Mus musculus: one gene and its partners. The protein of the gene in region 5 purifies or fractionates together with the protein of the main gene of each other region. This does not show direct contact. Links are inferred from orthologs where the notes say so. Each region holds a gene or a part of one and is shown on either strand. Other genes may lie near its edges. The genes, in order: Pttg1ip, Stx8, Bet1, Vamp8, Stx7, Stx6 and Vamp3.

Evidence for each region.
Region 1: the proteins of Stx7 (region 5) and Pttg1ip purify together in Homo sapiens (affinity purification with mass spectrometry; 3 studies listed by BioGRID and IntAct, counting the BioPlex papers as one, with this or other methods). This does not show direct contact. The link is inferred for Mus musculus from reciprocal best matches to the Homo sapiens genes STX7 and PTTG1IP.
Region 2: the proteins of Stx7 (region 5) and Stx8 purify together in Homo sapiens (affinity purification with mass spectrometry; 5 studies listed by BioGRID and IntAct, counting the BioPlex papers as one, with this or other methods). This does not show direct contact. The link is inferred for Mus musculus from reciprocal best matches to the Homo sapiens genes STX7 and STX8.
Region 3: the proteins of Stx7 (region 5) and Bet1 purify together in Homo sapiens (affinity purification with mass spectrometry; 3 studies listed by BioGRID and IntAct, with this or other methods). This does not show direct contact. The link is inferred for Mus musculus from reciprocal best matches to the Homo sapiens genes STX7 and BET1.
Region 4: the proteins of Stx7 (region 5) and Vamp8 purify together in Homo sapiens (affinity purification with mass spectrometry; 7 studies listed by BioGRID and IntAct, counting the BioPlex papers as one, with this or other methods). This does not show direct contact. The link is inferred for Mus musculus from reciprocal best matches to the Homo sapiens genes STX7 and VAMP8.
Region 6: the proteins of Stx7 (region 5) and Stx6 purify together in Homo sapiens (affinity purification with mass spectrometry; 3 studies listed by BioGRID and IntAct, counting the BioPlex papers as one, with this or other methods). This does not show direct contact. The link is inferred for Mus musculus from reciprocal best matches to the Homo sapiens genes STX7 and STX6.
Region 7: the proteins of Stx7 (region 5) and Vamp3 purify together in Homo sapiens (affinity purification with mass spectrometry; 3 studies listed by BioGRID and IntAct, counting the BioPlex papers as one, with this or other methods). This does not show direct contact. The link is inferred for Mus musculus from reciprocal best matches to the Homo sapiens genes STX7 and VAMP3.

Annotation. Positions count from the first base shown.
Region 1 is NC_000076.6:77,580,352-77,584,475, reverse strand, and holds the start of Pttg1ip (pituitary tumor-transforming gene 1 protein-interacting protein precursor), read right to left. Parts: upstream 2,822-4,124; 5' UTR 2,655-2,821; coding exon 2,549-2,654; intron 1-2,548. UniProt on the Homo sapiens protein: May facilitate PTTG1 nuclear translocation.
Region 2 is NC_000077.6:67,969,451-67,973,008, reverse strand, and holds part of Stx8 (syntaxin-8), read right to left. Parts: intron 3,238-3,558; coding exon 3,138-3,237; intron 1-3,137. UniProt on the Homo sapiens protein: Vesicle trafficking protein that functions in the early secretory pathway, possibly by mediating retrograde transport from cis-Golgi membranes to the ER.
Region 3 is NC_000072.6:4,084,102-4,088,272, reverse strand, and holds the start of Bet1 (BET1 homolog), read left to right. Parts: upstream 1-1,342; 5' UTR 1,343-1,477; coding exon 1,478-1,496; intron 1,497-4,171. UniProt on the Homo sapiens protein: Required for vesicular transport from the ER to the Golgi complex. Functions as a SNARE involved in the docking process of ER-derived vesicles with the cis-Golgi membrane.
Region 4 is NC_000072.6:72,387,813-72,392,025, reverse strand, and holds the start of Vamp8 (vesicle-associated membrane protein 8), read left to right. Parts: upstream 1-1,358; 5' UTR 1,359-1,549; coding exon 1,550-1,552; intron 1,553-3,605; coding exon 3,606-3,764; intron 3,765-4,213. UniProt on the Homo sapiens protein: SNAREs, soluble N-ethylmaleimide-sensitive factor-attachment protein receptors, are essential proteins for fusion of cellular membranes.
Region 5 is NC_000076.6:24,147,746-24,152,100, reverse strand, and holds the start of Stx7 (syntaxin-7), read right to left. Parts: upstream 2,813-4,355; 5' UTR 2,693-2,812; exon of another isoform or gene 2,375-2,692; intron 1-2,374. UniProt on the Homo sapiens protein: May be involved in protein trafficking from the plasma membrane to the early endosome (EE) as well as in homotypic fusion of endocytic organelles. Mediates the endocytic trafficking from early endosomes to late endosomes and lysosomes.
Region 6 is NC_000067.6:155,157,195-155,161,543, reverse strand, and holds the start of Stx6 (syntaxin-6), read right to left. Parts: upstream 2,842-4,349; 5' UTR 2,652-2,841; coding exon 2,617-2,651; intron 1-2,616. UniProt on the Homo sapiens protein: SNARE promoting movement of transport vesicles to target membranes. Targets endosomes to the trans-Golgi network, and may therefore function in retrograde trafficking.
Region 7 is NC_000070.6:151,047,932-151,051,489, forward strand, and holds part of Vamp3 (vesicle-associated membrane protein 3), read right to left. Parts: exon of another isoform or gene 3,145-3,558; coding exon 2,986-3,144; intron 2,116-2,985; coding exon 2,064-2,115; intron 1,116-2,063; coding exon 1,099-1,115; 3' UTR 1-1,098. UniProt on the Homo sapiens protein: SNARE involved in vesicular transport from the late endosomes to the trans-Golgi network.

The DNA of each region.
Region 1 (4,124 bases), about 53 Mb from region 5:
GAGACAGAGAGACAGAGAGGGGAGGGGAGGGGAGGGGAGGGACAGATCGACCCTAACAAGCACAGAGAGGGAGCAGCACAGTATGCGGTCACTCAGGACAGCTGCACCATTAGCTGGTTGTACTGCCCCTTAGCGCTCCTACACCCCCACACTGGGATCCTTCTCATTAATGCTGACAGCTGAGGGTGTGCTGAACACACCCACTCTCCAGCGTTTTCAAAGTCATCCACAAGAAAGGATGGTCTTGCTTACTATCAGCCCACACAATGTCCCCGGAATGACGAGGTCCGGATCTGTTACAGGATGTTTTGGTAACTGGGCTTTTGAGAACTGAAAGACTGAGTTCCAAGAAACACACCCTGAGCCCCTGAGTCCCTGAGAATGGCCATGCTGGCCCTGCCCATTACTTGGCAGTCTGAATCCCCAGGGGCCAGCCCTCCTCCTCCACAGACCTTGTGTACCGGAGAGCATCAATGGCAGGCATTCTGGCTGAAGTAACTCCCAGACTCATGTGGCAAGGAAGGAAACACTGACAACCTGCTGCCCCGTGGCTCACATTTCAGGGAGGCCACACACAGTATCTCTCACCTCATCACGGGACACAGCCAACCACACACTGGAGATAGGAACAATGTCCTTGTGGTTTCTCAATGCTGATCACGGATGTCCTGACTCTGAGGCACTGTGGCTTAGAGTTCAGTTTAGAATAGCTATTTACTCATTATTAAAGAACTTTCAGACTCATTTAATAACTAAATGGAAAGGCAATAAATAGTGACTCGCTTCTGAGTGGGTCCTTGACGTTTCGGGTGAGTCGACTCAGGTCCTCAGGACAAAAAGACACACCTACATGTGGGAAAGGAATAATTGTGGAAACTAAGGAAGTGAACCTTACTCATTGTAAACCTATGAAACATGCTGCCATCTCCTGTGCCCCCAAGTGAAATGAACTTGAAAGGGCTTAAGAGTGCCCACTCTGGTGACAGAATTCAGAACTCAGAGGACATCTCGAATGTCATGTTGGGAGTACACTTGCTTGACAAAGTAGTCCTCAACACTGCACTGTTTGAGAAAAGGAGGGGCAGGACACCCCAAAAGGCATGTATGCAGTATTGAATAATACAGTTCACTAAGGCAGGTTCCTCAGGGACAGAGGGAGGGGAACTGCAGATTCCTCTACAAACTGGGGTGTTCAGTAAGGACCCACTACTTGGAGACCTGCACCAGCCATCACTGTGTCTTAGTGTTCCTAACACCACTGCAGCCCTTTTAGGGACTGTTTTCCCAAGATGAAGCTCAGAGACAGTGACTCCACACGCCATTAGTAGAGGGTCCAAAAGCCCTGTCAAAGTGTCCTCAATGTCGCAAATTTCACTCTACGGATCTATAATCTACTACAGGTTCTGTGAAGCACACAAAAAATATTTAAAGGGTGAGTTTTGCCAGGCAGGGCAAATGCTTTATGGTCAGCATTTGAGAGGCAGAGGCAGGCAGACACCTTTAAGTTCAAAACCAAGCTGGGCGTGGTGGCACACGCCTTTAATCCCAGCACTAGGGAGGCAGAGGCAGGCGGATCTCTGAGTTCAAGGCCAGCCTGGTCTACAGAGTGAGTTCCAGGACAGCCAGGGCTACACAGAGACACACTGTCTCGAAAAAACAAACAAAAAAGTTCAAAACCAGCCTGAACCCAGTCTCAAACAACAAAAAAAGGCGAGTTTTGGGATACAGGATACGGTAATGTAAATTTATGCAAATTCCTTGTAAAGACTAGCCGTTTTAAACATCAGCTATCTCCCTATAGAATGTCAAGGAGTAGAATCCTTACACCTAACACGTGGTGGTTGGTAACAGGTGAAGGTTCGTGCCCCCCCCCCTCCCCCCAGTATCGCAGCAGACACCCTTGAGACACTGGGAAGGGTCCTGGGTCTCCACAGGCTCCCCAACACTCTGCCTGGCATAAAGTCCTTACTGGAGAATCTAGCCCCAAGTTCCCCGGGGCGGCCAGGGTCAGCTCCTTTAGTCACCCTCACCAAGGTAGCAGGAGTGAGGCAGTCCCAGACCGGTCCTAGGCATACCTGGGAGCAGATAAGAAACTTAAACAGAGAGACGCGACAACTGGCAAAAGGTCACAAAGAGAAAACACACCGTGACAGGCTAGAGTGTAAAGACACCTTGAGAGAGCCTGAGCTAACAAAAATACTCTCTTGCAGCGCCTCATCAACTCTAGCGAGCGTACAAAGGTCAAAGTTGACCAAGCCTCAGTCTTGGACACAACTTGTCAGCTCCCTGATTCCCCTCAAACAAAAACAGTGCTGGAATGCAGATGGTCCCCGAGATGCTAAGCAGGTGCCGAGGCGTCGGTTCCGACTAGCCGAGTCTTTCGTGCCTCAGGGCACGACGTTAACTTCCAGCAGAGGCTGGCTGCCTTACCCAGCTTCAAGGGAGGGCGTGAGCGCAGAGGCAGCCAAGCCCGCGGGCTGGACTCCGCCCTGGATCCGACCCGGCCGCCCTCCTCCTACTCCTCGGCCCCTAGGCCCACGGGCCTTACCCACTCTCGGAGGTTCCTGCGCGGAGGCTCCGGACAGAAGCAACAGCAGCACGGCACCGAGGAGCATCACCCAGTGCGGCGTCAGCCCAAGGTTAGCAGGCGCCATGGTGAGTGCGTCGTCGGCGGGGACCTCAGGCGACTCAACTCCAACGCCGAGCTAGGATGTTTCCACAGTAAGCGCTCCGCCTCCGTAAGCTAGCCAGACGGGCGGAGCTTGCGAGTGCGCAGCCGCTGGCTCCGCCCCCTGACCTCCGCCCGCCTACGGGCGCAGCTGAGGCTTAGCACGCCTGCGCGCTGCTGGAACTGCGGGGAGGGAGCAATAACCGGAGCGTCAGAGCAGCGCGCGTGCGTAGTAGACTACTAGGCTGGGCAGTGGACAGCGAAGCTTTGCCACTTGCTCTGGAATGGAGCTGCTGGACTCTGAGGCGGGTTCTGAGGCTCAGCTGCTCTGCCTAACACAACTGCTCTGTAGCCGCCAACCCTTGGAAACCTCTGCCAGTCCTGTTAATTCTCTGCCAGAGCCGTATGCGTGTCCAGAGGGCAGGTTTTGTGGATTTACGTTAAAACAGCATCCAAGCTGTCTCGAACTTGTTACTGAAAGGCGTTTAAATCACTGAGGGAATGTGGAGGGTGTAGCTTAGATGGTAGAATTGCTTGCCTGGCAACCAATGCATGCACAAAGCCTCCGAGTTCCATCCTCAGAACCTCACAAATGAGTCGTGATAACACACACCTATCATCTCAGCACTTGGGGGTGGAGCATTGGAAGGATCAGAAGTTCAAGGTCTTCCTTAACCAATGAGACCCTGACTCAAAGAAAACAAAACAAATCCTTATTGATAGTGACTGGGGACGCAAACTTGAAGACACAGGAGCTTTGAGTAAGAGGGTACCTTCCCTGCTTGATTGTGCATGAACCAGAGACCTAGATAGCCAGACACCAAAAAGATCAATGCGGGACTCTGGATCCCAAGTTTCTCGACTCATTAAAGACCCAGACTCCAGTAGGAGTAAGCAAAATAGGATACAAGCTTGAGCCCACCAGCTTTATGTCCATTTGATACAAGCTAGTTATGACTGTAAGTGTTGCAACTCTGAAGGGAAAGGCTTGAAGCGTTCCAGCTCCACTCCTGGTGCTGCGGCAGAAGGTTTTCCCAAAGGAAGTATAACAGTTCTGCTGCAGGAGGGGGTTCCCATGGAAAGTGTCACAGGTCTGCTCTGCAGAGGAAGACTTCTCCAGCCAAAGTGTAACAATTCTGCTTTGCCAGAGGGAGGCTTTCCCCAGTGAAAGCGTTACAGCTTTACTTCGGCCAGGCAGGTTTTCCCCAGCCAAGTTCTGTTCCGGGGAAAATGTTACAGCTCTGCTAGAGAGGCTTCCTGGCAATTGGGAGCCAAGGAATACCACAAAGTCACACGACACATGAGGCACACAAGAGATTTATGGAGAGGGAAAAAAAGCAAACAAACAACAGCAACAACAACAACAAAAACAGGAGGGCAGCTAATTCTGCTAGGGTGAAAAGCAGCAGAGAACGAAGCCAAAGGCAGAGCTTATATAGGATTTCTTGGGGGTGGG
Region 2 (3,558 bases), on a different chromosome or scaffold from region 5:
TGTCAGCCTGCATTCATACTCAACTGGAATTCTTCTGTAAAATTCACTGTATTTTATCCACCCTGGAGCCATGCAGGAAATTGTGTTCCCCCAGTCTATGCTCAAAAGCAAAGCCCAACAGTTCCCTCAACCATACTTCAGATGACAAGGTGTCAGGTCCCATTACCATCCTGACTGGTCTCTGAGCACTCTGGTGTATTTATAGCCCATGTGAACACTGGAGAGTGCGTGCTCTGTTTCCATGAAAGGAATGTTAACCATGCATGGCTCTTCTTCTACAACTGTGGGAATTTTCTCCAATCATCCTCAAAACCCAGAGGACATGTCTGTTTGTGACTCTAAAGATGAAGAAGGGGTGGGGAGAGCCCCACTCTGACATTTGGAAATGTGAAGAACAAAAGGACCCATTTAAATGAAAACATATTGGACCATGGATGAAATCAGAGAGGAATATTAAAAAGGCAGAATGCCACTGTTCTCACTGCTGCTTGCTAAAAGTAGCAGTTACTTGGGGCATGTTAGGGTGCGAGTTGGGGCGCGCCTATAATCCCAGCTCTGAGGAGGTGAGAGGATCTCTAAGAAAGAGTTAAAGGTCAGCATGGTCCAGGCCAGCAAAGGCTTCCAGTGAGACCCTCACTCAACAAACAACAACAAAGTAGCAGCTATATAGCTCAGGGAGAAGTAGGACACACACACCACAAACTCTATCCAAAGGGTACAACACACAACACACACACACACACACATACTCGCACACTCAAACAAATGTAATTTTACAAATTTTAAATCAAGTCATAAAATGAAATGTCACCCAAAAAGAAAATAGCCCAGAAACCAACTGCACTGTGATGCCATAGGGGAGCATTCCGTAGTAAGATCTCTTAAAATTTTATAAGAAAATAATATTTAATAATCAAGAGAAAACTTCCTTAGTTGTAATAAAGCAGAAATTTCAGAATATACAAAAAAGAAGCAAAACCACTGACTTAAATAACTGAAAAAACAAAACAAACAAAAACTCCTGCATGCCATTCCCACTCAAGGATGACAAAACGCTAGTGAACTATCAGAAAACTCAGAACTACATTGAAAAGGACAAGATGCTACCATGAAGTACAATTTTATCTTGCAAGGTAAGACTGGCTTAGTGGTAGAACCCTAAAAAGAAAGCTCGCAGTGTCAAAGATTAAAAACAGAATAAGCATATGATTAACACAGTGTAGGGAAATTTAGACGACACTGTCTGAACAGTATCACTCAGCTGTGATCTAGAAGTTCTTACTAACAGATCAAGACTCAGGAAATACTAAGGGCTCAAAGGAAACTAAAGTATTACTTGCAGATGGAGAATAATCCCCTTGAGAAAGTGAAAGAGAATCAGTTCGGGGCTGGGGAGATGGTTCTGTCAGGAGAGTGCTTGCTATGCAAGCACGAAGACCCGAGTTTGAGGTCCAAGCACCCATGTAAAAAGGCCAGGCACGCTGATGATCCCAGCACTGAGGATATGGGGATGGGAGCATCGATGGGGCTCACTAGCCATCTGGTCTACCCAAATTGGTTAAGTTCCAAGTTCAATGAGAGATGCTGTCTCAAAACAAAACAGACAAGCAAACAAAAACCCCACAAGCAAACAATAACAAGAACAACAACAATAAGACAAAAAAACTACCCAGCAATCAAGAAAGCACCCATCCTTAACCTCTGGCCTTCACACGGAGACACACACGTGTATATACACACATAAACAAGTACATATACTGCGTGTGTGCACACACACGCACAAAGTCAATTCAGTAGAGTGATCAAGCCAGGTATGGTGGCTCAGACCTACTATGCCAGCACTCAGAAGGTGGAAGTAGGAGGATAAGGAGCCCAAGACCAGCCTGAACTACAGAAGCACAGCCTGGGTGTATGACAGCCTGTCTCTTAATTAATTAATTAATTAATTAATTAAAAACATAAAATAATATCAACAAAATCTGAAGGAATATTTGTAAACTGGTAGTGGGCACACAGTAACTACGTAGTAAACGCTGCGCTTAGAGTGGATCAAAAGGAAGCACTAGCACTACTGAAAACCTGACCCCGCCCCTTTACTTAATCCACAAACCCACTACCTGTCTATTTAAAATCCATTTGGAATCTTGTTATTGATAATTAAGATACAGTGCAATTTTTTTTTAGTGACATTTTATAAAATTACCTATAAAATGACAAACATCTGTAATCTTAGGCTCAGGAGATGAGATCATGGTGTAAGTCTAGCCTGGACTACACAGTGATTCCAAGGCACCCTGGGCTACACAGCGAGACCCTGACTCAAAAACAAGCAAGCAAACAAACAAACAAACGAATGAATGAACAAACAAGTAAAATTACCCTGAAGGGGAAAAAGAGAATGAAAATAAGACAAATGATATTTATGCAAAATAAAGGGGAGTGCCTGTGCCTATCATAGTGTGCACATGACTGGGTACTGCATTTATTTCTTTGGTTTGCTGCTTAACCTGTTTGGTGTTGAGATAAGATCTCCCTATGTAGCCCACACAATTGGATAAGGAGTTATTATAAACAAAACACAGGGGGCTAGGGGAGGGCTTGGGAACCGGCTTGCTGCACACTCTTGGGGATCTGTGTTTCATCCCCAGCAGGCCACACAGGAGGCAAAAGTCAGGCACGGCAGCCTGGAGCTAACTGGCCAGTCTGACTAAGTTGGTAAACACCTGATTCAATGGCAAACCCAGTCTCAAAAGGACAAGGTGGAAAGTGACAAAACAACTTCTGGCCTCCACATGCACACAAGTACATACAGGTGCATGCACACACACACACACACACACCCAAGGGTAGGGTGCCAGCAGCTGCCAAAGGTGTGAACTCTATGGAGTGTGATGCCAGTGGCTATCAAAAGTATGAAGAACAGCAGCTATATAAAGTCAGTGAATGAAATATAGAGGATTTTATATCTCCGGGGAGTGGCAAAAAAAGTAAAATTCGCTACAACATATGAAAACACATTTCAAAGATTTAAAAGACTTACACACACATACACACCACCCCACAACGCCCCGCATGCCCCAGATCTAGCAATGGTTTCAGACATCGGAGCTTAGCACGTTGATTCCTCCATGTATTACCTTCGGTGTCTTTTCACCTCTTCTTTCACACTGATTTCGTTCTTGAATCTTCTCAGCGATTTCTTGGGCTATCTGACACGTAGAATCGTATGTGGAGAACCTGCATCAAAGTCAAAGTCAGGTTAAAGTTCTTTAAAAGAAAGTGCTGGCTGAGTGTGGTATTGCATGCCTTTAATCCTAGCATTGCAAAGGTGGAGGAAGGAGTGCGAGGCCAGCCTGGTCTAAAAGAACACAGTGACAAGGAGACACTGTTTCAGGGCAGGAGACACAGAGGAAAGATGAGAAGTGACGTGCAGAAGCACACTGCAGGGACAGCAGGAACTGTGTATCTGCAGCAAAAAAAAAAAAAAAACCGCTCTGACAGGAGAGCCTGGCAGACTCCTCAGCCTGCCACAGTTCTCTCAGAACGCTGACTGGCTTT
Region 3 (4,171 bases), on a different chromosome or scaffold from region 5:
AGACAAATGCAAGTTTATGGTTATGCAGCCAATGTAGTGACCCTGTGCCCTTGCTCAAACCCCCACACTTGTTTGGTGTGCCTCATTGTTCTGAAACTCTTAATAATTTTTGTCTTTGATCTTGTATCATGCAAATGAAGTCTAATGGCATAATATAACATGCTCATGTGCAAATGATATATTTGTAATAAGTGTTTTTATTGTTCTTCATTAATATGCTCTGGATTCTGATAGCCCTCTGACTCATCAAATTTTGCAAGATATTAAAAGCTACAAGGTGAAGATGGCATGTTTATGCTCGAGTATGAACACTTATAGTTCCCATAGTCACATGTTGTACTTGAATAAGAACTTGTGATAAAATCATCAAGGATCTTTGTTATATCCCCATACTCATCTCACATTCTGTATTAGTTGAATTGAAAATTATCACATAGCAATAGAAGCAAAGAAGGCGGAACTTAGACTCTTTCTTTCAGCCATCAAACCACAGTAAGCTGAGGGCAGAGTGTTAGTGCAATGTGTTTCTATTATGAAGTATAATGTGTGTAGTGAGGTGGTTCAGCAGCTAAGGGTACTTGCTGCATATGTAGCAGAGGATGGCTACATGCTCCATGGAAACAAGTATGAGGTATTTGTGTGTACGTTTTAAAAGCTCTAAGTAGGGTGGAGTGTTTAAAAGCTAAATATCACAGTTCTTTCCAGACTTAGATCAAATGCGTTAGGAAGCTGAGACTCCCCACTTCCCTACCCGGAAGTTCTACTGCAAGGATACATACATACATACATACATACACACACACACACACACACACACACACACACACACACACACATATATATATATATATATATATGTGTATATATATATATATTTTTTTTTAACTATTCCACTGGGCAGGATCAGGAAGGAAGAGGATTGATTTTCCTTTCCTGCTAAGAGGCTCAGACAGTAAGATGAGACTCTGTTTGAACAAAGTTTGCACTGACTTTCTCACCTCTGACTTTGGGTGAGCGGGAGTGCAAGGGAAAATCATGAAAGAGTCAACCATCATCCCGGCTAGGGAGGGGTAACTCTCCCAGGTTAAAGTTGGCACTAACATCAAAAAGTGCCATACTAAAAGTTCTGGATTAAGTAATGACCCAGAATAACAGGACTAGAGCCCCAGCAGCTGTCGCTGCCCTTCCGGAAGCCCCGCCCATTCCAGGCATTGTTCCTACCACGCCCCTCTTACCCAGTGCCCCAGAAGACGGAAAACTACATTTCCCAGAATGCAACTAGTAATCGCATTTCAGGACGCCTATATGTGTCCGAGTGACGACATAAACCGGCGCGGTGTTTAGACTTTACTGATGTCGTGGCGCTCTGAGGCAAAAAGTTGTTGCTCTTAGGAGCCCTGGGACTGAAGCCGAGGTCGGGTGACCCTGGCCCTTTCCTACTCACTCCTCCTTGCCCGCCTTTCCCTCTCCTGGCAGGATGAGGCGTGCAGGCCTGGGTAAGAACAGTGCTGAGGTTCGAAGTTTGGGGACCCTAGGACCTGCTGAGTCGGGAGCAGGGTTGTGGGAGGAGACTACCGGCCCTCTGTCAATGACTTTGGTGTTCAAAAGCGAGTTATTTGGGTTCTTTGGAGAAGGTTCTCTTCCTGTGTCCTAGTTCCGAACGGTTTCCTGAAGTTGTATTTAGACAAAAGTTTAAACCTATATGCTAGGTTGCACAGAGCGGTGAATTGGTTAGCATAAGTTTTTCTTTTTCTATGTGCTAGTTTGGGGAGTAACCCAATTTCCCAAGCCTTGCTGTTTCCTTTGCTTTACTCATTCTGGATCTTAACTTTTTTTTTTTTTTTTTAAGAAATGACATTTGGGGAGTAGTAAGCTTTAAGCCCACTAATAATGATGCGTTAGTTTGATAACCGTGAGTTACAAAGGTGAATTTACGTGTCCTTATTGTTAAAGTGCCTGTTATGAAAGGTCTGGGTCAAAGGCGAGTTACTTGGAACACTTCTGACCTAGACCTTGTCCCACTGCTAAGGCAGTAGATGTTGGTTTTGATGACTTAAATGGGTCAGGGGAAGGAATAGCTTAGTAATAACTGAAGTTCTTTCTCTATTAGCCATGTCTTAAAGAAGGAAGGGCAGAATGCTTGAAAAAAATGTGTGAAATATTAAAAAGGATGTTGCTGTTCTGGCAGACATTGGAATAGTAAAAAAAAAAATAGTTTTTAAAAATTTGAGGTGTTAAAGCCAGTGAATGGACAAACACTTAAAGTTAGGTATGAAAACTAAAGCCTCTTTTGCAACTCATAATTCACGGCTTGTTATGGGTTTTGATTATGTAAGAAGGAACACAATATTCATGACAGTGCAGAGACATGGTAGTAGTTTCAATAAGGTTGGTTATAGGAATAGAATGTGTGGACTTTAAAACCACTGAAAAATAAGGGCCTTGAATGGTGTCAGTAATATAGATTGACAGGGTTGTCAATAAGTAGTTGCATGTGAAGAAGTTGTAAATTTAGTTTTATGAATCCTTTCAGTCATTGAAAGAAATTAGTTCATCTCAAATAACCTAAAGAACTATTTTCAAACATGATTAGTCATATATGCCTACATTTTTCCAACACTAATAACAGCAGACATTTATTGTGACGCACCATGTGCTTCCCAAAGCTTTCAGGGTTACTGTGGAGCAGAAGATAAATTGCTGCGGAAGCAGATGACAAAGTACGATCCAAGGTGGTAACTTCATCCCAGTACAGGTTAAGTTCATCGGATAGTAAATGCAGTGGGGGCTTAATAATCCATGGCTCACGGTGGGCTTCCTGGAGCCGGAGAACCTGAAGGATGCTGGTGACTGTGAGGGTTGGGAGAAGTAAGTCCCAGATGAGAAGATGGCCAAACAAGATTCAGGGTAGTTATGAATGATGTATACAAGAGGTTGTGGTGATGAAGTCACTCTGAGTGAAGCTAGGACCCTGAGGCACCCGAACGATCTGACTATTCAAGGACTTTACATTCATCAGTAGGCCACTGGCCTATTGGAATTTTGTTTGTGCTGTACTGTTTTTAATACGTGCAGGTCAGGGATTTGACAGTAGGTTTCTATCTCTGACTTGTATTGTATGTTACAATTACTCAGAAAGATGTTAAATTAGATTTTCAATTAAATTAGAATCAGCAGGCAAGAGTCCCCTCCTAAGTCTTTTTGAAGTGCAGTGAAGAAGAGGGGTAATTATTTGTTTAAGTATGCTTATCACTTAAATTGGTGTTGAATTATGAAGACCTAAAAGTATCATTGTGTGCTGACCTGAATTTGAAATTTGAAATAATAGTGAGTCTGATAAGCATTTGTATGTAAAACCTGCCACCTTACACAGGAGCTGTTAAATGAATTGGCCTGCTTCAAGGAAGTAGCACTTTTCAGATGGCATCAGCTGGAAATGACCTTCAAGACTCGCCTTTCTACAGTTCATCATAGTAGTAATTAATTCTCACTGAAAAATTGGATCTCAGTTGGAATAGCAATTGTAGTATTTTATTTTACCTTAGTTGGTTTTGTTTTGTTTTTCTGTTTGGGGGTGGAAGATGATGTGAAGAAAGATCAAATTTGCAACTGCATTAAAATTTCTGGATCAAAAAAAGGAACATTTTGCTTTAAAAGAACAAAGTAGAAGAACTCTGAAATTAAGTATAAGATAGGCTAGAGAGTCAAAACAAAAGAAATAAATCAAAATAGCCATTAATTTTGGACAAATTAGTTAATGAAGTTGTCCAGTGATTAACTATCCAATCCAGAATTACTTAGTCACATTAAACAAGTTGAAGATCTTAAATCTTGTTAAGAGTTTGCAGAGATTATTTTAAGTGTTGATTTTAGTTGGTGAGCTGCGAAAAACAACTATGCCCTGTCCTCCAGCTTTTAATCTGTTTGAAAATATGTGTGGAGAAAGAGAGAGACCATGCCAGCCAGCAAGTGTGCAACTGTCCCCTCTCTTTGAAATATTTAACATTTTGTTATGGCTTTTGTGGTAAACGGAGAAATATAGGCGTCTGGTACATAGAAAGTGCTCATTAGGTGCAAGAGGCCAGAGAAGCAAAAGACATTCTGCTGTTGACAAAATTGGTTTACAGTAAAGGAAAAATGTCCTTTTTAGTTCATTTATAAGTATTTACTT
Region 4 (4,213 bases), on a different chromosome or scaffold from region 5:
TTAGCCGGGAGTGGTGATGCACACCTTTAATCCCAGCACTTGGGAGGCAGAGGCAAGTGGATTTCTGAGTTCGAGGCCAGCCTGGTCTACAAAGTGAGTTCCAGGACAGCCAGGGATATACAGAGAAACCCTGTCTCGGAAAAAAAAAACAAACAAATAAACAAAAAAAAAAAAAACCCAAAAAAAAAACCCAAAAAAACCAACAACAACAAAAAAAATTTTTAAAGATTTTTTTAAAGTGTTACTAGTTGCTTTAATTTGCTTCTGTAAAACTAAGCGTGCAGTGTTTGTAGATATAGCTCCTCCATGGCTGCCTGAGCAGGCACGAGGGAAAACACATAAGTGTCCCAAAATGATTCCGGGATTCTAAATTTATTATAGCCAACAAAATGAAACAAAACAAAACCCCTCTTATTTGTTGGAGGAGCTAAGATTTCCTCCTTGACGGTGTTATTTACTCTGGGGTGGGAAAGAATGTCTGTTCTCTTTCTGCCCTGTTATTGTTCTGTCTTGACAAACTCCATCCGGAGAAGAGCAGATTTTCTCTGGCGGAGAGCCACATGTGGTGGAAAAACCCTTTACTCTTAGGCCCCCATCCTAATCTGTCTGACAACCCTCTGACAACTGACCAGGGTCACCAACCCCCACGGTGACCTTTGGAAGGAAGTGTAGGACTGCTCAACTCCAGAAGGAAAGGAGGGGCTGGTGAGTGAGCCATTTCCCCGACTGTCCTGTGTCCTGTGACAAGGATAAGGTGCCCTGCCCCTGCTGTTTGCACTCCTCCCACTGCCTGAGGTCAGCCTTAGCACCCGAAGAACATTAGAGGGGGACAAAGATCCCACCCCCAGGGCCAACTTGGAATTTTCCTGGAGATTTTAAAGACTTTAATTATGTGTATGTGTGTGTATGTATGCACACGTATGTTCACATACCCACAGAGGCCAGAAGAGGGCATCTGGACCGCCCCTGCCCCCCCCCCCCCCCCGAGATGCAGATACAGGTGTCTGTGAGCAGCCAGGGGTGGGTGTAGGGACCTGAACCTGGGTTACTGCAAAAGCAGCGGGTGATCCCAACTGCTGACCCATCTCCCTAGCCCCCGTTTTCTGGGGGATCTTAGAGCTCTCTTCTCATACAGGATGGCCCTTGGGGACAAAGGTTGCCCAACAAGGTATCTTCGCCTGTACATTCGTTTCTATCTAAATAATGCTAATGTAAGTCCCTGAAAAACTAGAATTACTTCTTTGAAGCATAAAAGAAGTTTCTGAAAACTTAGGAGGACTGTTGATCCTTCTTTTCTCCTTCCCCCCTCCCCCAACCCTGTTGCTTAAGCTTTTGTTTGGGAGGAGACTAGGAGGACGGCAGCAGAGGGCAGCCGCCTACCTGGAGAAACCTGCAGTTACGTGTGTGGCAGGAGCCGGAGTGGCTGGAGTCGCGGGATGGTCAGGAGGCGGGCTGAAAGTTGGAGTAAGCAGGAAGTGAAGCTGTGGCTGCCTTGGGTGGAAACAGACTAGGCGAAGTTCTGCTTTGAGAGGCCCAAGTGCTCCGAGACATGGTGAGTGACGTGGGGACCAAGAAAAGAGCGAGTTAGAGCAGCTGCCAGAGGGGGATCGGGCCTGGGGGTTGCCTGTGTCGAGAAAGGTAAGTTGGCGGCAGTCAGAGGGCTGGCGGGGTTGGGCCAGCGCTGCCTCTGTCTCCTTACTTTTGACAACTCCTCCACAAATAGCTCCGCACTCCGGGCCAGGGGTTCCTGACACTTCTCCACCTCCTTCCTCCCGTGACCTCGGTGCTGGATCCGATCAGGATTTCGGTGGGGGTTGGGGGACCCAAATTCCAAGCCGAGCTGCTGCGCCGCGCCCTCCCCCTCCTCCGCCTCCTCCAGCTGGGCCTGAGCCCGGTGTTGTGACATTACCGGGCCACAAGCGTTCCTGCTCTTTGGGGCTCAGATTCCAGCCCCGCGGACTGGAGTTCTCCCCCTTACCCTCGCACTGTATCTATGCAGACACCCAGAGGATCTATCTGCCTGGCCACCAAAAGCACCACCCTTTTCTAGAAACATTAGCAACAGTGCCAAGGGTTTGTAAAGCAGCCAGATGGCGGTTCTTCCCGATAATCTAGCTTCAGCCCACACCCGTGGCCGGTACCTGAGGCCCCCTGGGTCCCTAAGGGAGGAGTCAGGCCTCTTCCCTCCTTGTTCAAAAGCCTTATCTAGAGGCCTCCTGGATAGAGCGACCGCAGCAGGAAGGACTTTTATTAATATCTGCATAAGCAGGCGGTGGTGTGCGGCCTACCAGGCGTTAAATTGTGGGGAAAGCAGAAGTATATGGTCCAACGGCACATGATGCCTTCTGGGGGCCACATCCACTGAACCGGGGCTACACTGCCCAGTAGGCTGGAACCAGAACTCACCAACAGCTGTCTGGAGAAGGGCATTTATTTGGGTTGGGCCGGGCAAGAGTGTGCTGCTGGTCAACTCTCACAGTTTTAGAGAGAACCCACTAGGATTGAGCCGAGGGAGGCTACAGGAACCAGTTAATAGTTCTTGGCTGTGCTCTGCTGAGGAAACGTCAGCTGGGTTTTCTCCTTGACCCTCTTTGTGGAGTCAAGACAGGGGCAGTCGTGTGCTGTTTTTTTGTTTGTTTGTTTTTTGTTTTTTGTTTTTTTTTGTTTTTCCTTGTCACGCTGAAAATCCTCCAAAGAAGGTGGATGAGAATCCAGGGTCAAACCTCATCTTCTGGGACTTAAAAAATGCACTTACATGGCTGGCAGCCGAGATGGCTGGGCAGGTACAAGTGTTTGCAGAGCAAGCCTGCCTGCCTGAATTCAGTATCCTGCTCTCTCCTGCCCATCCAACTGGAGGAGACAATCCACTCATGAAAGTTGTCCTCTCACCTCCACATGCGTGCCGTGGCATGTGCATACACGTATATTCCCCAGCACACACACACACACACAATGCACTTATGACAGACTAAGGATGTGGTTCAGCTGATAGAGTGTTTGCCTGGCAAGCGTCAAGCTCTGGGTTTCATCCCCAGCACCTCATAAAACAAGGATAATGGTACACACCTGGAATCCCAGCCCAGGGTAAGTAGAGACAGGGGGTCAGATGTTTAAGGCCATCCTACTTAGGAAGCCTATGGCCTGCCTAGGTTATATGAGAACCTGCCTCAGATAAATAAATCTGGGGAGGTGGCTCAGTGGGCTTGCTACGCAAGCATGAAGATTTGCATTGGATCCCTAGACCCATTTAGAAGGAAAAAAATTCCAGGTGTGGTGGTGCAAGCAAGCACTTAGGTGGCTCCTAGTGCTAGGGTGGTGGAGAAGGCTGAGCCCTGGGGCTTTTTGTCCACTCTAATCTCAGAGCCTCAGGCCAACAGGAGACCCAGCCTGTGGGGGAAAAAACAAGGGAGGAGTGACACCTGACCACCCGAGGCTGATCTGGGATATAAACGTGCTTGCATCGAAGTGAACATTTACGTAGAACATTCTCCTGGTAAACAGTTGAAGCATCAGAAACGGCTAAAATCTACTTTAGTTCTTCCAACCTCCTCTGGCCTCTTGGATCCTCTGCTGCCCGGCCTAATTAACCCCTTATTGACATCCAGGAGGAGGCCAGTGGGAGTGCCGGAAATGACCGAGTTAGGAACCTGCAGAGTGAGGTGGAGGGAGTCAAGAATATTATGACCCAGAATGTGGAGCGGATCTTGGCCAGAGGGGAGAACCTGGACCACCTCCGAAACAAGACAGAGGACTTGGAAGCCACGGTGAGATTGGGAGAAAACTGGGAGTTGGTGGGGGCAGATCTCGGGGAGGGGGAGAAGTTTGGGTGGGGAGGCAAAGTGAACAGAAGGGACTGCAGACTGTCATGTCTACTGCCCTTTTGCCTATGCAGGAGATGGCTGAGGTTCCACCTCTGCTTCCTTGCTACTCTGCTGGCTGGTAGAGAGCCCAGTGAGTGGTTGGATTTGAGCTTGGGTGAGGGGCCCACCCACAGAGCCATTTCTGAGACAGTTCAGTCAACTGCTCCATTCCTAAGCTTCATTGGGGTATGAAACTGATTTTTGTCTCAAAGCTTGCCCTTGGCAACCATTTGGAGTTGATGTCCCAAAGGCAAAGTTATGAGTTCCGGGCAACCCTTGGCCTTTCAGCATTCTCCCTCCAGGTGTAATTAGGCTGGAAGTTGGTGGGGGGCGTCTTGCTGAGTCCGCTTTAA
Region 5 (4,355 bases):
GAAAGAAATAAACACTTATGTTTATAGACAGTTATTGACAAATGGCTCTGAAGTCTGTTTTTACATGTGAGCTAATTAACTCTATGCTTATAAAATGTTTGTACTCTATAACCATCTGCATTGCCTAGCTTGAGCTGCAATACTCAAAGCATTTGTGTCCTAGTGTCTTTGCTCAAAATAATTACATCACTCCTCATGTGCACCTGCACTGCCTGCACACAACTATCAAAATGAACTAAGGTAGAAGAAGGCCACCTCGGCCACCTTTCAAGTGCTAAGAAACTGTATGTGGCCAGTGGCCAGCAGCTGGGACAGCTCACATATTCCCTTCATCCCCCACAGAAAGTACTACTGGGCAGGGTTCAACTCAACAGCTCAGTAATTATCTTTTTATGAAGATAAACACTAAGGTGAAAGAGGAGACGGGAGAGTCAAACAGTAACACCTATAGTGAGCGCTGTCTCAAGACTGTGTGGAAAGGGCAATTTAAAAATGAACAAAGGGGATTTTGATACAGAGTCTTGAATGTAAAACACTACCCTGTAGTTACTAATGGACATACTGTAGAATCTTGAAGACTTCCTCTGAGCAGACACTGGCTTAAAATTTAGCCTGCTCAAATCAAATGGTCAGTTTCACTTTCTTAATCATGAAGCCCAGCATAAAATATGAGTTTCCTCCTTTGTTCCCCAGGTTTTAATTTTTGTGTGTGTGTGTGTGTGTGTGTGTGTGTGTGTGTGTGTGTGTGGTGTGTATGATGTGTGTGTATGGTGTGTGAGTGTGTGTGGTATGTGTGTGCAGTGTATTGCGTGTGTGGTGTATATGTGTGTGTGGGGTGTGGTGTGTACGTGTGGAGTGTGTGTATGGTGTGTGTGTGTGCTGTGTGTATGTGTGTGTTTGTGTGTGTGTGTATGTGTGGTGTGTGGGGGAGTGTAAATCTTGGACTTAGTCTATTCTCTAAGTACTTGGCTACAAAGTAGATCCTGAATAAATGTTGTAAGTCTGAATGAACAAGTGTACCGATTTCCTATGAACACATGCCCAGCCTAAGAGTAAATATAAACATTTCTAAAATACTGTTTCAGGCTTATTGCTACCTGGGCTTTTCTCAGTGTCCCTTTCTATCTGTAGATGGCCCTTTCCATGATACACACCCAGCCCCTTTGAGGACTAGCTCTTTGTCTCAGTAAGGTGTTATCACACACTAAAGATGCCAGGTCTGAAATGAGAAGTCTCTATCAATGTAACTTCTACTTCAAGCGATGCATCATACTTAGAAGATGGGAGCATTCACACTCTTTGTTTTCAATTCCTAAAACAAACAGGAGAGGAATCATAGGAGACAATCAATCATGAGGGTGCTCAATCTTCCATATGAGTATTCGGTCCACAAGTGCATCTTTGCCCAGCTCCTTCATCAATCCAAACGCTACACTGTTTGGTTTCAGCTTAATTAACCAAGATTTTTTTTCCTCCACAGTTTCACACATTAATATTTCAAGTTACACTGAACCAGAGAAAAATCCACACAGACTTAACTGTGGGAGTTTTATCTAGCAGTACTAGTAGACATAGAGGTAATATTTCCCTGCAGTACTGGGGACTGAACCAGGGCCTTGTGCACACACCATTTAGTGGCATATAGCTCAACATAATTATTCATAATTTTCCACCAGCAGCGTATGGATGAACTTGGGATAATAATCAGAATTAGAAACGACTGTTAATCAGGAGCAGCATAAGAAGTGAGCTAGCTGAAGGAAAAGAACCCAGAGGTCAGTGAGTTAATACTGTGTTCTATTAACTTCCCCAGACACTGGGAAACTACAGCCTCGTTCTTAACTAGTCACAAGCCTGGGGGCCAACTTCGAAAGCAGCTTGCAAAGCCGAAGACCCATCGGCACCACAAGGCACAATTTAACAGTGTTATCAATCTCTGTTCACTGCGGCTCAGAGTACACCTAAAAGAAATGCCTACCTCCAACAGGACCAAACCAGTGTTTCACAGTTAATTCCTTTTATTTTCCTGATTGTGGAAAACTTGTAAATAATAATTCCTGACAAAATACGAGATCTGACGCAATCAAAAATTGATATATGCATATAAAATGCAAGCAAAATTTTAACAGCTATAAGGAAAAATTAGCATTTGACTGTAAAGCTTCCTTCCTCTTCCCACCCTCGTCCAAGCTTTTTTTTTTTTTTTGGTCTGAATTTAACCTAGAAAACACATATGCGAATTCTCGAAATACCTTGTTACCTTGTTATGTGTCTTGCATAAATCAATTGAAACGAGCACAAGGTAGGTCAAAGAAAGTTAGCTTGTGTGAGTAAGGCCAACAGCCAAGCAAAGGCCCTGGGCCGCGGAACGAACCTGTGGCCAGATGACCAGGGCCCATCGCGTTTCCCTTTCTGTTCTTCGGAGGAGAAGTTGACAGAGAATGGGAACACGGTCGTAGCCTGCCAGGATCTGGCGGTAGTATCCGGTCCCCAAGGCTCCATTGCCGCGCGCCCCGGTGCTCGCACGTCGCGTCCCGGAGTCCGGAGCGGGGCGTGGGAGCCCGAGAGGGAGGCGCCGGCCCTGCGCCCTGGGGAGCCCCGCTCTGCGCACCCCAAAGCAACCACTAGCGAGCTGCAGTTCTGAGGTGTCCCTCCCGCCCCCCTCTCCCCCGCCTCTGCAGTCTCCTCTTACCCTGACCTCGCCGGCTTCCTCGGCCACCTCCAGCCGCTGTCACCCGGGGGCCCACTGCCTGGCGCAGCCGGTCTCAGCTGATGGGCGGCGGCACAAGCACGCCCACTGCGCATGCTCGGGGCACAGCCCCAGGAAGGAGGAGGCGGGGCTTGCGTCTCTCCCATTGGCCAGTGACAGCTGAAGCTTGGAGGGACTGGCAAAATTGCTGGGGAGCCAAGCTCTGATGGGTGACAAAGTGATGTCTATGGGCAACAGAAGAGGAAGCAATACAATAGAGAAGAGCTGGGTTCTTTATTCGGAGGCGCCAGACTCCCTGGACTGAGGGAGCACTCTCAGCTTTTAAAGGTTCTGTTTCCTAACCCTCAGCTCTGTGGTAGACTTGACAACTCCATTTTTAAAATGTCACTGCAAAAATGTCAAGGCAATCCTAGCTAAAGCCCCGGAAGGATAAATGAAAGATAATCTCCTAATGCCCACTTGATAAAGATGTTTTCCTGGCTCATAGTTGGTATCGCATCCTTGAAATACAGGATGTGGTTTTCCCAGGCTTTAAGAGCACACACTGTTCCAACAATAACTCTTCAAGCATGTGACCTCTCGGATGAGAAACATCAGTTGTTCATGTGAAAGAAATACTTTGCCAAATTAATTAGAATAGATTGCCTTGGATTTGCCTATAATTAAGATGGTGTTATTTCTGGAAAGAGCATGAAAACACATGATACCAAAAGTTCGATAGACTTCAAGTGGAGGTAGGGGGAATCCATACTATTGTGAATCAGAACCACAGAGCAAACTGTATGTTGGTTGGTTTTACACCTGCAAGCATACGTAGATGACTTAGGTCAGACTCAAACACAGCGTCTTCTCAGTAGGATCCACCCAGTGGATCAAAGAACATGTACTCATTTAAAGTCATGTGATTCAGCTCGGGCCATGGTGAACTGTTGAGGTTTGCTGTTTTGTCCAGCACTGGAAATTGAACCAAGGTCCTTGGACATGAGAGGCCTTCACTCTGTCCTCTATCTCCAGTGGTTTTTGTTGTTGTTGTTGTTGTTTTTGAAACAAAGTCTACACAGGTTACCCAGATATTAACCTTGAACTCACTCTGTAATCCAGGTAGACCTTGAACTTGCAACCTGCCTCATCGTTCAGAGTACAGACCTGTATCATTGTCCCGGGTTGTTTGTGGTTTTGTTTTGAGGAATGAGGGATCAAACCCAAGGCCTCACATTTCAGGTAGTTGATCTACCCCTGAGTTCTACCTATCATCTCCACTGTGAACTTTTAGAAGTATTAGTCCATCATAGTGACATTGTATGTTTTCCAAGATACAGAGGAAATTCAAGTTTTTCTTTGAAATCTCTCCCTTTTTCAAAATTGTTTTATTTTTAAAAATCATTCTTTGACAAGGCAATAACCTCTAATAGAAAGTCATGTTAGCTGTTAAAGCTACAGAGTCCCTTTTAGAAAATCTGGTTCTGTTTCCTCATAATACAGATTAAGGAACCTGAAACACCAAACACTTCTAAGTCACACAGGTAATTAGGAACAACAAAGCCTTAAGTGTCCTGTCCAGACTCTTGAATCCTTCCTGCCACCGGATCCAGACAACTAATATCTGCTGAGAGTCTATTCTGAAGCAACTATCAAGCCTTGCACT
Region 6 (4,349 bases), on a different chromosome or scaffold from region 5:
TAGACCAGGCTGGCTTCAAATTCAAGAGATCTGCCTACCTCTGCCTCTGGAGTGATGGGATTAAAGACCTGTGTCACCACCTCCCGCTTCCACTGAGTAGTTTTAAGCAAACACATCAAAAGACAGAAGAGCCGGGCAGTGGTGGTGCACACCTTTAATCCCAGCACTCAGGAGGCAGAGGCAGGCGGATTTCTGAGTTCGAGGACAGCCTGGTCTACAGAGTGAGTTCCAGGACAGCCAGGGCTACACAGAGAAACCCTGTCTCGAAAAACAAAAACAAACCAAAAAAAAAAAAAAAAAAAAGATAGAAGAAATAAAATGGAAGCAGGAAGCATGTCTCTTTTCTAAATCCCTAGACAGGAGAAAGAGGTCTAAGTTGTCTGAATTCTGCTACCTTCAAAACATCCCTGTTCCAATAGCTTTTCCCACCATAACAATTCCTAAGGCACTGCCTTTTCTCTGAACACCTGAGATGCTCATCATCTCTAGGAAACACTGCTACACTTACCGATCACCTGTCATGTCTACTTAATTCTGATGTGATTTATTCCGCTGATTACTCTAGAAGCACCTTGTTTCAGAGTCATATTTGAGGCATCTTTACTTTTTCTACCCTGTGATGCATTTTCAATAATCTTGTTTTTGAAACTTTGGAGAGAGAGAGAGAGAGAGAGAGAGAGAGAGAGAGAGAGTGTGTGTGTGTGTGTGTGTGTGTGTGTGTGTGTGTGTGTGTATGTGTGTGTGTGTGTAAATTCCTGCAGGTGGGTTCTGGGGATCAAATTCAGGTCATCAGGCTTGGCTGCATGAGCCCTTATCTACCAAGATATCTCAGTGGCCCTCAATCCTGTTAATAAAATGATGTTCATGGATATGCTATCACACATCCTGAGACACTGATGTGGCTGGCTTGTCTTTTCTCCTGCAACAAGTGACCGAGGACAGTGTCCTAATAGAGTAGTAATACCTAGTCAGCAAGTAAAGTAAGTGCTAGTAGACTTGCAGGGGTAAATACCAATATGGCTGAGCAATAAAGAACTTTCCATGTTTCCCTCAAAGGCGAACAGAGAAATCCGCTGGTTACCTCTGCTATCTACTCACTGCCAGAGATAACCTTTGCAACCTGAATGTCAAAAACTTCAGTTCTGGGGCTGGTGAGATGGCTCAGCAGACAAAGGTGCCTGCGGCCAAGCCTGAGACTTGAGTTAGATCCCTGAGACCCACGCAGTGAAAGAGGAGAAGTTCCTGCAAGTTGTCCTCTGATTTCCACATGCATGCCACAACATTCACTTACCACTCCACAAAATAAGACAAAAACCCAAGAAAACCCTTCCATTCAAGGGAAAAGTATACAACTCTAACTCTAAATTTAAAAACAAAACCAACTAAAATCTTAATCAATTCCATAATATAGAACACAATTTCCAGGTAGGCAGATTTTACTGTTAAATATATACCTTCCTATTCCCCGACTAAATTAAAGCAAGGCAAAAGAAAAACCCTTTTAAGGAAACGTAGAGACAATCTTAGCCAAGCTGGCCTTTAATCCCAGCACTCAGGAAGCAGAGGCAGGCAGATCTCAGTGAGTTCAAGGGAGTTACACAGAGAAACTCTGTCTCAAAAAGCCAAAAAAAAAAAAAAAAGCAGTCATAATATATTTGATTGTGCATTGACTGTACACACCAAGGATAGTAAAGTATCTCATTTTAAGTTTCCCAGGACTCTTAAATACAAAAACAAACACCCACACAACTGGTCAGCTTTTACCACTATACAAGTAAGATGCAAGTAGCAACTAGTTAAAAGCAAAGAACACTTTGCAGTCAGTAGAACTTACTCTGTCTTAACTTCGCAGTTCTCAGATTTTTGACATTTCTCTGACATTCAAAGCATAAAACTGACACATTATTAGAAATAAGTTGCGACATCATAATTGCGCTTTCTTGCTTTTGTGTAATGGCTACAAAGTTGATACAACAAAGTGCAATTGATGTTTTCATCTCCCAACAGATAAACAAAGATGGAGTCAGGACAGTTCTGTCGCAAAACGAGGGCAGTAGGCTTCTAAAAAGGCAGAACGTGAAGTGAGGGAAACCTGTCAAACACCCAGGATGAAACCAAGGAGTTCAATAGAAACACTCATTTCCTTCGACACGGTGGGAAAACCCCGGTGGCTCACAAGAAACCCTCGGAAAGTTTGGTTTGGCTGATTGCATATTGTTTTCCTTCCAACATCAGCACCCGGCCTGGAGGACTTTTCCTCCCCCGGGAAAGCGCGCGTCCTCCCGCACCGGCTCCCGCACCCGCTGGACACTACCGGGCAAGCCGCGGGGTGGCCGTCCCGAGCTAGCTCCACGACTCCACAATGGAGCTCGCCCCCGCGCACGCCCACTCCAAGAGGGCCATTTCCCTTTTCCTGCCCAGATGCTGTCGGCCGGCTCCGGCGCGTCGCTCCCCACCTGCGGCGCGCGACCCCGAGGAAGTGGCGGTGCGGGCCGATAGTGGGACCCCAGGGGCCCGGCCCCAAACGACGCGCGGTGTCCGAGCACAGAGGCTGTGTCGCCCTGCCTCGATTTCCCTCCCCTCTCTCTGAGGCGGGAGTCCTCGGCCCACACTCACCCCTTCACTACAAAGAAGGGGTCCTCCATGGACATGGCGCCCGGCCCGGCAGCCCGAGCCCTCCCTGAGGTCTACCGTGGCCAGCGCCTCGGCCGGGGCGACCCGGAGCAGCAGTGCGCGCAGACCCGGGTGCCCGTCGGCCGTCGGTCCAGCAGTCGGTCAGCGCCGCGGGTCGAATCCCACTCCAAGCCGGCCCCCACGGCAGCCTCCTCCCCCGGCACCTCCGGCGTCTGGCCCCGCCCCCAGAACCTTCGCCACTACCAATCATGGACGCGTACCGCAGCCTCACTTCCGCACTCAGGCTCACGTGACCCAGATCGCCCAGGCCCTGCGCCGGAGAGGGGCGGAGCCTAGCTTGCGTCACTAGGCCCGAGAGGCGGGGCTCTGGATAGTGGGGGCGGTCTTCTGCTGCCTGGAGAAGGCAATGAGGATTTTAAGAAAGCTGTTGCTGTGTCTGATTTGCATAGACCTTTTACCTTTTCTCTACTTTTAATACTTGCTTTTAACTCCCTGTGATTTACATGCCCATCTAATCATCGTCTTGCACTAAAGGATTCTCAAAAGATCTGATTATGGTAAGGTCTTAGGTCATGCAGTGTGTAAAGGCTGTATAAACATCCTCAATCAATACTCTTTTGGAGGACGATCCTACTGTTTCTAATTTGTTAGAGACTTCATTCTTTCCTGTACAGGGTCACACAACCCCAGACACACAGATCCACAGATCCCGGACATTTGTACTTCATTCTGAAAGCAAAGAAGGAGCCAGACGGGATCACTTCCTTTCAACTACGATTGCAGAACATCCAGAGCATTTTATATGGCACAATTAGACACACTGTGCGTAACTTCTTGGATGAGAACTGTGACCTTTGATTATTGATAATCACTGAGCAGTGACTGAGCATTGGACAGGATTCTAAGTTATCTCACTGTCACATTCCTATTATTTATCATCTTCATTTTATGAATGAGCTTGGACTCCGAGAGGTTACGTGACTTAGCCAAATTCTTTAGTCTCCTTGGAGCTTGCATCAAACAAATTCCCTTTGAACCTGAAGTCCCCCATTCAATTCCTCATCTTTAAGATGTAAGGTGGTGGTGGCACACACCATTAAGACCCGCACTCAAGGGGCAGAGGCAGATGGATCTCTATGAGTCTGAGGCCAGTCTGGTCTAATGAGCTAGTTCTAGGACAGCCAGGATGTGTAGGGGTGGAGTAGGAGGAATGTTATGTGAACTCTGAGGCCCCAATGCCGTCAGGGACCCCTGAAGGAAGCTGTTGTTTAGAGGACAGCAAGAGGACATGATAGAGGAAGGGAGGAGAAGAGAAGTGAGAAGCAAAAGTCAAAGACGCCAGGCTTCTCTGAACTCCTGAAGGAGCGGTGGGTGGCAGGTGTCGGGAAGGGGAGCTGCCGGGAGAGTTGCAGGCTTTGGCTACCTACCTACTGAAATTCAGAGATAAAATGTTCATTGACAATGGCATGTAAGTGGAAGAGCAGATGAGCCTGATCCTTGAAGGTCAAACCTCAGCTCTGCTAGTCCCAGAAGCCGTGTCAAGCCAGGTTCTTAATTGTTGACTGTCCTGTCTCTGGATGGATACCATAGTAACATCTTTCTCCTACAGTGTACAAAGTATTGGCAAAATCCAGCACACCTGAGCTTCTTTACTCTGCTCAGGGCACTAAGGACTCCGAGATGAATACTCTTGTCCCCAAGGAGCTCCCAGGCCT
Region 7 (3,558 bases), on a different chromosome or scaffold from region 5:
CATCTCTGGTTAGCTATCCTCTACGAGTGACCGGTGGCTTACCTCAAGCATAAGACAGAGATGAGTACAAGCAGTACACAGTCTTCTGGAACTCTGTGCAGACTGATGCCTTGGTGAGGCTGCACGGCTACTGCTCACATCGCACTAGAGACCACAGCCTAGCTCAGTCTACAAACTGCTGGCTAAGTATCTTGTCTACAGGTGTGATCTGAGCCCACCTCCATAGCTCTAAAGAAGAAACCAAATCAGAATGACTAGCCTTCTCTATAGCATTTCACAGGATGGACTGCCGACATGTTGAAGGCTCGCTCTCACAGTATTAACATTTTTCTTAAAGGACACCTTGAGTTACATTTGGCACTTATTTGAATGTATCTATTGGGGCAATTTATTTGTACTTAACTTTTGGCAAAATAGAAACTTTGGTCATAGTTCTATAAAAACTTCTTAAAGGGTTATTTCTGGTTAAAATACTATTTTAGGAGTGATATACAACAAGAACAAGAAAGTAAACATAGTCATATCTAACATAAGAGCATGAGCTCTTCACCAGCATCTTAAATACAGCGGGAGTCAGTAGTGCTTACAAACGGAGAATAATCTTAAAGAACAGTTTCCTAGCTATCAAAATAAGGCACACCCTGCTATTGTCACCCATTGCTGTTAGGCAGTAGTGTTCTTCTTGGAAGGTCCAAGTTAGGAATCTAATTACCCAAAAGTTTAAAATGTGGTTTTGAAGATGATGTCAGATGTGGGGACAGCTGCCTTGAACAAAACCCCCTTCCTGGAATCCACAACAAGTCATCTTGAGTGACAACATCCACCTCCATTCAGCACTCAGAACTACACAAGTCCTCTTTCCCAGTCCAGAAATCTGTAAAGGCACTGTGCAAAATGTGGGGAGGGTAGGTCACACCTCCAGTTTGGAGTGTATATGAAAAACAAAGGCACATTTTCTAGGCACTAAACTGTATGTAAACTAACAAAAATAATCATTTGGAAAAAAAACAATAGGTAAGCTCGATAACACGGCAGGTTCTAAGTAGAAAGTCTTGAAGAAGATCCTGAATATCGGGCTTCAGTTTCATCGGTTCTTCATTAAGAGACACACCACACTAAGAGGCAGGGAAGATTTAGAAACAATGAAAAGGGCATGTTAGTCTTTGTGTGTGCAAATACTCAGTAGGGATGGACTTCTACTGTCTAAAGAGGGACAGAGAGAAACTGACTTGGCCAGTTTTCCACTGGCAGCTTCTTTACATGCTACAGGGCTCTGGGGAAGACTAAACTCAAAAGTGGAAAAGGAAATACTAACAAGAACTAGCAAAGGAAGGCATGCTTTGCTAGGATGTTCGCATAGACTGGAATGAAAATAAAGTGAGTTCTTCTAATATGCAGTCACAAGAGTGGTGGGAGTAGCTATGTGCTAGCTATATACATTATTTACATAATTACTATTTCTGTTCTCCTATGCCAGGTACTTTCTTATGTAATAACCAGGTTTGTCCTAACAACACAAGGTGGACACCATTACCATCTTCATTTTATTCATGAGGACACTTGAGGTCCAGACAGACCCAACTGCTTGCCCAAAGTCACAGAGCCTTACTACAGGTGGCATAGCTGGGATGGATCAACTCAGCTAATCACTACATTCCACAAAAGGACACAGACTAAAACTGCACAGGAGAGAAAAATTGACCAGACATTAGGAGTGAGATTTGCTATTCTTAAAGGATAAGTGCACCCATCTATCCATCATCCATCTAACAAAACACCAGACTTTAATTACAAAAACTCAAATATTTAGGATCATTTTGGTGGCACAGGCCTATAATCCTAGCGCTTGAAATGTTAAGGCGGAAAGATCACAAGTTCAAGGCCAGCCTGGGTTGAACATCGAGACCCTGCCTCGAGACCCTGCCTCAAACTTCCCGCAATACCATCATCTCAAAACACCCTCAAGTATTTAAAATACTTGATAAAGAACGATATTTAAACCTTGGACTGAATCCACTCTTTGCTGCTGCACAGACGAACGTCTATGACCATGGGTAACTCACCGATGATGATGATGACAATGATCACCAGGACACTGATCCCTATCGCCCACATCTGCAACAAGACAGATCCATTTAACATTGCAAAACAGACAGTGCTCGCCGCAACCGCTACAGTGTGAAATAATTTATATAATTTCTAAAGCCTAAATTTTATATTTTCAGTTAAGTCCTGAAATTTAGTTATGGGCTTTCAGAAGTAGATTCCAATCCTCTGTGACCTCTGAAAACACACACATTTCCACACAGGCTCCTGATCTTGTCCCATTATCTCAGAGTGTCCTTTCTAAACAAAGCATAACAGGAAGTGTGTGAGCTCTAATCACAGACATTCCCATTTGCTAAGTCTGCTTTGGACAATATTCATATGTTGCTTTCTCCTCTTTTTGAACAAGGTGGGATTTCTTAGCATTTAACTTTTTTTTTTTTTTAAAGATTTATTTATTTATTATATGTAATACACTGTAGCTGTCTTCAGACACTCCAGAAGAGGGAGTCAGATCTCGTTACGGATGGTTGTGAGCCACCATGTGGTTGCTGGGATTTGAACTCCTGACCTTCGGAAGAGCAGTCGGGTGCTCTTACCCACTGAGCCATCTCACGAGCCCAGCATTTAACTTTTGAAATTGGAGCCATTCCCAGAATGGGCAGTTAACTGAGCATCAAAGCCAATAGCCCCGTCAGTGTGTTCTCAGTTACCTAGGTCTAGTGCCCACGACTGCTTGGGCCGTCTGATTCTGCATGTCTTCTAACTTTAGCCACAAAACATGGCATTAGATTCCCAGCTGTGGGCCAGGAAAAGGGATATAGACTCATAGTTGGCCAAGATTCTACCCACTACCCAGAGTCACCCAATGCAACAGAGTGCCTGTGCAACACTTGGGGTATGGAGGCCCGCTGTGAAGGTCTGTCAAGAGAGCATTACCTTGCAGTTCTTCCACCAATACTTTCTCTTCAACTTGGCAGCACTTGTTTCAAACTGCGAGGCACCTGCCTGCAGTGCATCTGCGCGGTCATCTAGCTCCGAGAGCTTCTGGTCTCTTTCTAACACCTTATCCACATTGACTCTCATGATGTCAACCACCTAAATGGACATGGTCACAGTTACACGGAAAGGAGAGGAAGAACAAAACTCCACATGACACCTATGGGCACTTTGTATTTTTTTCCAGATCAGTACTTTATTATGTTGAGCTAAACTTCCACTTAAGAAGGAAGCCCAGGCCTTTGGGATACATCCACACAGCAAACCAGGAATAGAAGAGACTTCAATTACAGAGAAGCCCACATTAGTATCACATACTATGGTGAGAGACTCAACTTCCTTCTAAGATCTGAAGCAGAACAACAGGATGTTTCACTTTCATGGCTGTTCAACACTACACTGGCAGTCTTGGTCAGGGCAATTATCCAGGGGAAGAAAGGCATCCGGTTGGAACAGAGGAGTACAACTATCTGTGCCACATGTAAGAAACTCTTAAGACTCCTTCATAGGAGG